Linked DNA regions of Astyanax mexicanus. The protein of the gene in region 1 purifies or fractionates together with the protein of each later gene. This does not show direct contact. Links are inferred from orthologs where the notes say so. Each region holds a gene or a part of one and is shown on either strand. Other genes may lie near its edges. The genes, in order: casp10 and faslg.

Region 1 (3,929 bases):
GATTTTTGACCATTTCAGATAGGAACTAATAGTTTACAACATTTCAATAAAGGAGGCCCTGAGGATCTTAATTTTTGTGATAAATGTTTACTATTTTCACATAGTTTTACACAAATTCACTGAAGTTTGTAACAAATTAGGTAAAGGGTGCTTTTTTTATCTGTTTACATGCATGAGCACCTTACGCAGATCATTTGGTTAAAGTAATTGAACTCAAGATTCTTGGTGTACTATCAACAAGCCTAACAACAAGCAACATTTAGGTTTTATATATGGTCTATGGCCAAATCAACAATAATGACTGGAGTGTACCAATGTGTACCGGTAACTTTTTGAATGTGGAGAAACCACAACACTGGAAACCAAATTTTAGTTTCATTATAACAGCCAAAGCTCAGAAAATATAGATGAAACAATATTTTTTTATTTACTAGGTATATGTTTGAAAAAATATGGTCAAATATCTAAATTCTGTTAGTATTTGAAAATAACCTCAGGCTTGTGTGAGTGTCTTCTGTAATTTTTTTGTAATTTTAGGTGAATAAAGCTTAAAGCTGCAGCTATGAGACATTGGTTTAATGCTGTAAGATACGCAGTATTTACAGCCTCTGACTGATGTTCAGTACAGGGAGCTCTATTGAAAAAATTTATTCATTCATTTGCTCCTCAGCTAAAATTCTGGTGAATTGGACAGTTCAAAACATGTTGATGACGAATGTGATTAAATATGATTCATTTAGATTAATTAATCACAAGTCATGTAATTCATTGAAGTACTTTTAAGCATCTGACAGCACAATAAAAAATGCGCTACCACTGTCTTAAAACTGCTGGCGTGAATCTGCTGGCGTATATCCGCGGCTCTGCAGACAGATACTAATGGGAAAGTATCCTATATCCCTGTATATATATGAGAAAATCACTGTTCAAACACTAGAGGGAGTTCAAAATGTGGTGAGGTGAAGTGAATGGAGCTAAACGCCTAAAAACTTAAATTAAAAATAGTAACTATAACCATTTGACATGGATATTCTTTGGATATATTTTTGGAAAGTAGGATATGTAGAATGTTGCTAAAACAAGCAAAGAAAACATACCTTTATATTTAACAGGTTTTAGGCAGTCAATGTGCTACCTTTAGGCTAATCCTTCTGTGTGCTGACTAGAGGTGGGTAATCCAGGTCCAGAAGGTAAAAATCCAGTCCAAGGTTTTGTACCAACTGCATGGGCGGCCCTGGACCTGGGTTACCCACCTCTAGTCAGGCAGTTGGTACAAAACCCTGGTCTGGATTTTTACTGTCTGGAGCTGGGATACTCACCTCTAGTGCTGCCTGGTTGGTGAACTCAGCTGATGCTGGAATTACAGCCAGAACATTTTAAATGGTTTATAACTGGAGTTTTTAAACTTAAAAAATATATATTTGCCACTGAACCATGTGATATTGTGCTGTGGGAAATGGGTGCAATTTTCAGTATAGAAATTATCAAACATTTATAAACTGCTCAAATGCTCCATATGAATCTATTCATTTTGGACTCCAAGAAAATATCTTTAAAATGGGAATTCTCCTCTCTAGAAGTTCTATGATTGCGTGTTTAAGTTTAACTCCACCCTCTCCCCACCTTCCCTGCACAGTTTCGGTTTTACTCTCTGACATGAAAAACTTTCTGTGCGCAAGAAAACGTCTTTTTTTGTTCAGTCGAAATATTGCCATTCCAGTCAGCGTATTTTAGCTGATTATTCTCGCTGTTAGGTTGAATATGAACCATTACCCTCTCAGGGAATTTTCTCCTGTTTTCAGCTGAAGGTGTTCCCACAGGACTCCTCACAGCATGGAGGAACAGGTAAGTCGTTTTACTCGTCGGCTAAAAGTTAAACTTTATATATTTAATGGTGTAGTCTGTTGGGGAGCGAGGCAGAAGATATATTTGTTATATACAGACGTGAAAGAGACTCTGTCCGTGTCACAAGATACACTAGCTAACCTACCACACCCGGGCTGAACCCTACAGTTCTAGGAAATTTAGGTTAACTTACTTCCTTAAGTGAAGAAATGAGAGATTCTGCCGGAAGTGTCGAATAATAAAGAACAAATCCCTCTTTACCTTGCTTAGGTAGAAAGTTTGGTCATCTTTACTTTACTAAAGTAATACTTTTCAGACGACGTTTTACTTCAATATAAATTTTCACACAATTATGTGTATTTTATAATCCTTACATTTTCAAACAATTATCTGTACTTTTTTACTCTTTACATTTTCAAACAATTATCTTTAATTTCTACTCCTTACATTGTCACACAATTATCATTTCTTTCTAGTTTTTATATTTTCACACAATTATCTGTACTTTATACTCTATGCATTTTCCCACAATTATCTGTACTTTATACACCTTACATTAAAAAAATAGCCTTCTTTACTCTTATTTCAGTTCAGCTGTTTTTTATTGGTTTCAATAAAATTCTATTTAGATAAATCTCTCCATCTGGATAGATTGAATTTGATTGTGGTTGAATGAGAAGTATAAATATATACAACTCCCTATTGGTTTACATGTGATCCATATATTGTGGCAGAGACTCAAGAGAACTCAAGTGAAATGTTCCAACTAAGTTTCTTTAATATTTGCATTGGGTTCATTTTCAATGGGTATATATGCAGTAATCCAGATTTTCGACATTAACATTTTAGTATAACATTGTAGTCATTATGGTTTTTAGTAAAATGTGTTTTGGGAAGGGGGTAGTGCACTATAGGCTCCTGTGGCATGGCCTAATTGTTGTCTTTAATGGCATTTTTTCCTTGAATTACTTTTACTTTTATACTTATTCTAAGTAGTTTTAAAACCAGTACTTTTACACTTGTACTTAAGTAAAAGGCTTGAGTTGCTACTTCACCTTCTACATAAGTATATTTAAACCCTAGTATGTATAATTCTACCTAAGTAATGAATGTGAATATATTTCACACCTTTGAATAATTATTAAATAGACGTAGCATGTTGTTTAATCAATGAGAAGCTCAAATCCTGTCCTAATTAAGGTCAACCTGGTTTTACTTGGTTATATTTCACAGACAGGACTGTGACAATTACAGTCTATACTGCTACATAGTTTTGCTCTGTGGCGGTTTTGCCTAGGAAAACACTGGATGGCGCCACTGCTACCCATCCAGCGGCCTGGCTGATCCACATGGCAGCTTAACATTCGACATAAATCTCAGTTTTAGTAGTGAAGAGAAGACTTAAAGGCCTGAGAGGTGACTAACTAAAAATAGGGCTGTTCTAAAACTTTTGACTGACCGTGTATGTTACTAATTCAGTCAACATTCAGCACAAATATGCCCAAATAGCCTGTTAGTCAAGTCCAAAACAAACGTGTAAACTGCTACTTTTGAGTTATAAAACTAACAAACTGTACAGCTGTGAACTATACATTCCTGCAAAATCCTCAATTGGATAGGTCCCATTGCCTTTCACTGGTTTTGATGGCTGATTAGGAAACTACGATGAGCAGAAGGCCTGATAGCAAAGAACACTGAATAAACATATATTTTTTTGGTTGCAGTAGATCAGGGGTGTACAATTTTTTTTTGTTGTGGGCCAGAAGGAGAAATATATGTGCAGTCATGGACCACAGACTCAAAAATCAATAAAACAAATAATGAAATATACTACTTATAATAAAACATTTCCTTAATTACTATCATTTACACACCATTTTACTTGAGTTACTATCTTTATCTGTCTTAGACAGTGTTGTGTAAACTAAGATTTTTCAAATTAATGTTCTGGTTCATAATGTCTCTTAATATTATACTAGTAAAAAAATAGTAATTTTCCCAACATGCCTGAAATTTTCTGCATTTGCTGTCCATTTTTTCGTTTCTTTGGAGTTGTTAGACTCTTTGGCCCGTTTTCTATACTA
Region 2 (3,929 bases), on another chromosome or scaffold:
TGGTGCAGCAATCCAAGTTGTGAAAGAGGTTAAATTCCTTGGTCTTACATTTGATAATAAATTATCTTTTATTCCACATATGAAGAATCTTAAGAAGAGATGTTTTAAAACTCTGGACATTTTAAAAGTGCTGACAAAGACGAAATGGAGGGCAGAGAGGACTGTTCTGCTACGCTTGTATAGAACACTTGTGCGATCCCGTTTGGACTATGGGTGTTTTGTCTATGGATCGGCAAGAAAATCTTACACTCAGATGTTGGATACTATTCATCACCAAGGTTTAAGACTGGCCTTAGGGGCCTTTAGAACCTCACCAGTGCAGAGTCTTTATGTGGAAGCTGGAGAACCATCCCTTCAACTACGACGTTTGAAACTTGCTCTACAATATGCAGTTAAAATCAAGGGAAACAGAGATAACCCTGCCTACTCCACTGTCTTTCAACCGCAGTATCTGAATTTTTATGAGGCTAGACCCAGGACTATCAGACCCTTTGGACTGAGAATCAAACCTTTTCTTGATGATTTGAATGTTGATCTAGATGGATTAACATCTACTCACCTTTGTTCTATTCCCCCTTGGACCCTGAGGCAACCTATAATCGTGCAGGACCTGAGTCACAAAACAAAATCAAGTACACATCCAAACGAGTACCAAAGTTGCTTTCTTGATGTTAGACAACGCTTTTCATCGTACATTCCAATCTATACTGATGGCTCAAAAACTGATACTTGTGTGTCCTCAACAATGGTAGTCTCTTCCAATCATTGTGGAATACGCATCCCAAACTTAGCTCTATTTTTTTTTGGGCTGAAGCCCAAGCCTTGCTTTTAAGTCTTGAATACATCGAACAACACCACCAACACAAGCCCCTGATTTGCACAGACTCTAGATCATGCCTTCAGGCTTTGGAATTTTTAAAGACTGACCACCCCCTGATTGTTAAAATACTTGAAAAACTGGTCACATGGGCCTGAGTGGTAACGAAAAGGCAGATAGTGCTGCTAAAGGAGCTTTGAATGAAAACATCTCTGAGTGCCAGATCCCTGTCTCTGATATCAAACCTGTACTTTCGTCCTATATTATTGATAAATGGCAAGCTGAATGGGACAGCTGCGATGACAATAAGCTGCATGAAATCTGCACTTCTGTAAAACAAACTGTAACTCAATTATTTTCTTGTAGACATGATCAAGTTGTTTATACAAGGTGTAGGATTGGACATTCTAGGCTCACCCATGTTTTTTTTACTAATTAGAGATGAACCTCCCCTGTGTGATCACTGTGGCAATGTTTTATCAATCAAGCATATTTTATCTTGTCCTGCTCTTAGAGTGAAAAGACAGCAGTTTTTTTACAGAAATTACTACTGTAGATATTTTTAATAAGGTCTCACCTTTGAAACTTTTACCTGGTACAGATCTGGCTTTGACCATTACTATTAAGTAGAAAAGAGCTGGTCCGCTAAAAGCAGCTAAAAGATCTCAAAAATTAACACATTATGCAGATCTGAAGTTGGTAGTGTGATGGTCTGGGACTGCTTTTCTGCTTAAGGGCCTGGACAACATGCTGTAAAAGATTAAACCAGGAATTCTGCTGTTTACCAGACAATCCTGAGACTTTTGCAGCAGGACACGGATCCAAAGCACACAAACAAGTCCAAGTCCACAAGTCCACCTCTGAATGGCTTAAAAAAACGAAGGTTTTGGAGCCTAGCCTAAGTCTGATTGAAATGCTGTGAATGATCTTAAACAGGACATTCATGCTCGAAATCCCTTCAATGTGGCAGAATTAAAACAATTCTGTAGAGGAGAGTTGGCCAAAATTCACCAAAAGACTCATTGGCAGTTTTTGGTAAAGCTTGATTACCTTTGTAGTTGCCAAGTGTTTTGGTTCAGGGGCAAACACTTTTTTTTTACACAGGGCTAGATTGGTTTGAATTTTTTTTCCTTTGATAAATAAAACTATCATTTAAAATGTGCTTTTTATCTTTATCTGGTATTAAAGTTTGTTTGTTAAAATTTTGAAAAATATCAGTATGACAAAAAAGCGAACAACAAAAGAAATCTGTTGGGGGCCAATACTTTTTCACACCACTGTACATGACTAACTGTAATGCATGTACTCTGAGTGCATTGTGTAAGCAGGCAAAAAGTTTTCCTGTCCGTGATGTCATCAGAACCCATCTCATCAGCATATGCATGCTGAGAGAAAGAGAGAGAGGTAGGTTGTGGGAGGGCCACATATGAAGTGTCGACCACATAAGAAGTCTTTTAAAAATTTGTAGCTCTGTAACTCTTTTTATACACACACTCACCCTTGGACAGACTGAGAGCTGTAAGCATGAATGGTAACCTAAGGTACCAGTATCCACCAGTGTTCACAGTGGATGCTGCAGGAGGCCTTCATCAGCAGCATCATCATCATCATCCCCAGATGGCTGCTGCAAGGACAGATCCGACCCTGGTTCCCTGCTGGACCTTTCCCCCTGCTCGTGCCCAGACCAAGAGGAGGAGCTGTGGAGGACTGACCTCTGCTGCAGGAACCCTCCTGGTTATGGTGCTGGTGGTGATCTTTGCTGCACTGGGACTGGGAGCCTACCAAATTAGGAAACTCGAAATGGAGGTGATAAAGCTCAAGAAGGTGAGAAGCTTCACTTTTGTCAAGAAGAGTTTCATAAAGTGACAATAAATAGCTGATTTTGATGCCTATGAAGAATCACAAAGAATAAGTTCTTCTTTGTATAGAAGAAACTTTGAATCAGTTCAGCATTTAATAAATGTAGCATTCAGTGGGTTCTTTAAATTGATGGTTATGTATGACCATTGCCTTTTAGAAAGAGCCCCCCTCCCCTGTTTAAGTGTATGATGTTTGATTATGTATTATGTGTTTGTTTGTTTGTTAGTTTGATCTGGAATTAACTTATATTAAATTATAAATTATTTAAAGTTCTAAATTATTTAACTACAAAAAAATAGTGGCCACTAAAAACCATGAGCAATTGAAGTGCTGCCCCCCACACAGGTCCTTGTCATTTAAGTTCAATGTATTAATTTCTAGATTTTCTAGTTTTTTCTAAAGCTTAGTGCATTAGAGCATTTTCTCTGCATTTTGACATTTACTTGAGCACACTCGGACCGGAATCGTCTAAAAAAAGATAAAGGTTTGTGGTCACCAGTCCATCAGTACAGGATATCCTCTACTCAAACCAGAGCGCAGTCAGACATACATCTCACCTTCTTCTTAAGAAGTGAAAGCTGAGCATAAAGGGCACAAAGATGGTCTCTCTACACTCTAATTCATCCTCATTTACACATTAAGAAGTTTCTGTACATTGTTTACAAGCACCAGTATAAAAATCTGATGCATATGCAGAATTTAACACCCCTCATACTGTATTTCTATTTCTTTCATGACAGGAAATGAACAAACCAACTGAAAGCATGGCACCGCAGAAGCTGGTTGGTAAGTTTCTCAGGCTGTTATTACCTGTGGCCTGCTTGTGCTTATTGCACTTCATCAAACACAAACATGAGAACTAACCTTCTTCTTACCTTTTGACTTGTTTTCAGGAAACCAAGTAGAAGCAAATGAAAAGGCCAATCATATTGAAGCTGCACATCTGATGGGTAAAGACCATTTCTTTTTTCTAAAGGGTTCTAGTGTGAAATAACTCCTACACAACAGCAGGCATCATGTGTGGGATCAGATAAAAGACTAATTAAAGATTCTTTTTAGGCTGCACATGAACACACAAACACACACACACAAGCACTTTCCTGTGGATGACTAAGTGTGTCAGACTGCAGGGGTGTTAAACCTGTCCACATCGAGCCTGTTTGTCTGCAGGCTGTCATTCTAAACAACCTGCAGCTCTCCTCATTTCACTTGTTTAATCAGTTGGTGAGTCTACAAACAGCTGTGATGCATT

Evidence for each region.
Region 2: the proteins of casp10 (region 1) and faslg purify together in Homo sapiens (co-immunoprecipitation; 3 studies listed by BioGRID and IntAct, with this or other methods). This does not show direct contact. The link is inferred for Astyanax mexicanus from reciprocal best matches to the Homo sapiens genes CASP10 and FASLG.

The regions. Positions count from the first base shown.
Region 1 is NC_064418.1:32,518,804-32,522,732, reverse strand, and holds the start of casp10 (caspase-8), read left to right. Parts: upstream 1-1,609; 5' UTR 1,610-1,833; coding exon 1,834-1,845; intron 1,846-3,929. UniProt on the Homo sapiens protein: Involved in the activation cascade of caspases responsible for apoptosis execution. Recruited to both Fas- and TNFR-1 receptors in a FADD dependent manner. May participate in the granzyme B apoptotic pathways.
Region 2 is NC_064408.1:62,930,980-62,934,908, forward strand, and holds the start of faslg (tumor necrosis factor ligand superfamily member 6), read left to right. Parts: upstream 1-1,414; 5' UTR 1,415-2,341; coding exon 2,342-2,641; intron 2,642-3,417; coding exon 3,418-3,463; intron 3,464-3,570; coding exon 3,571-3,627; intron 3,628-3,929. UniProt on the Homo sapiens protein: Cytokine that binds to TNFRSF6/FAS, a receptor that transduces the apoptotic signal into cells. Involved in cytotoxic T-cell-mediated apoptosis, natural killer cell-mediated apoptosis and in T-cell development.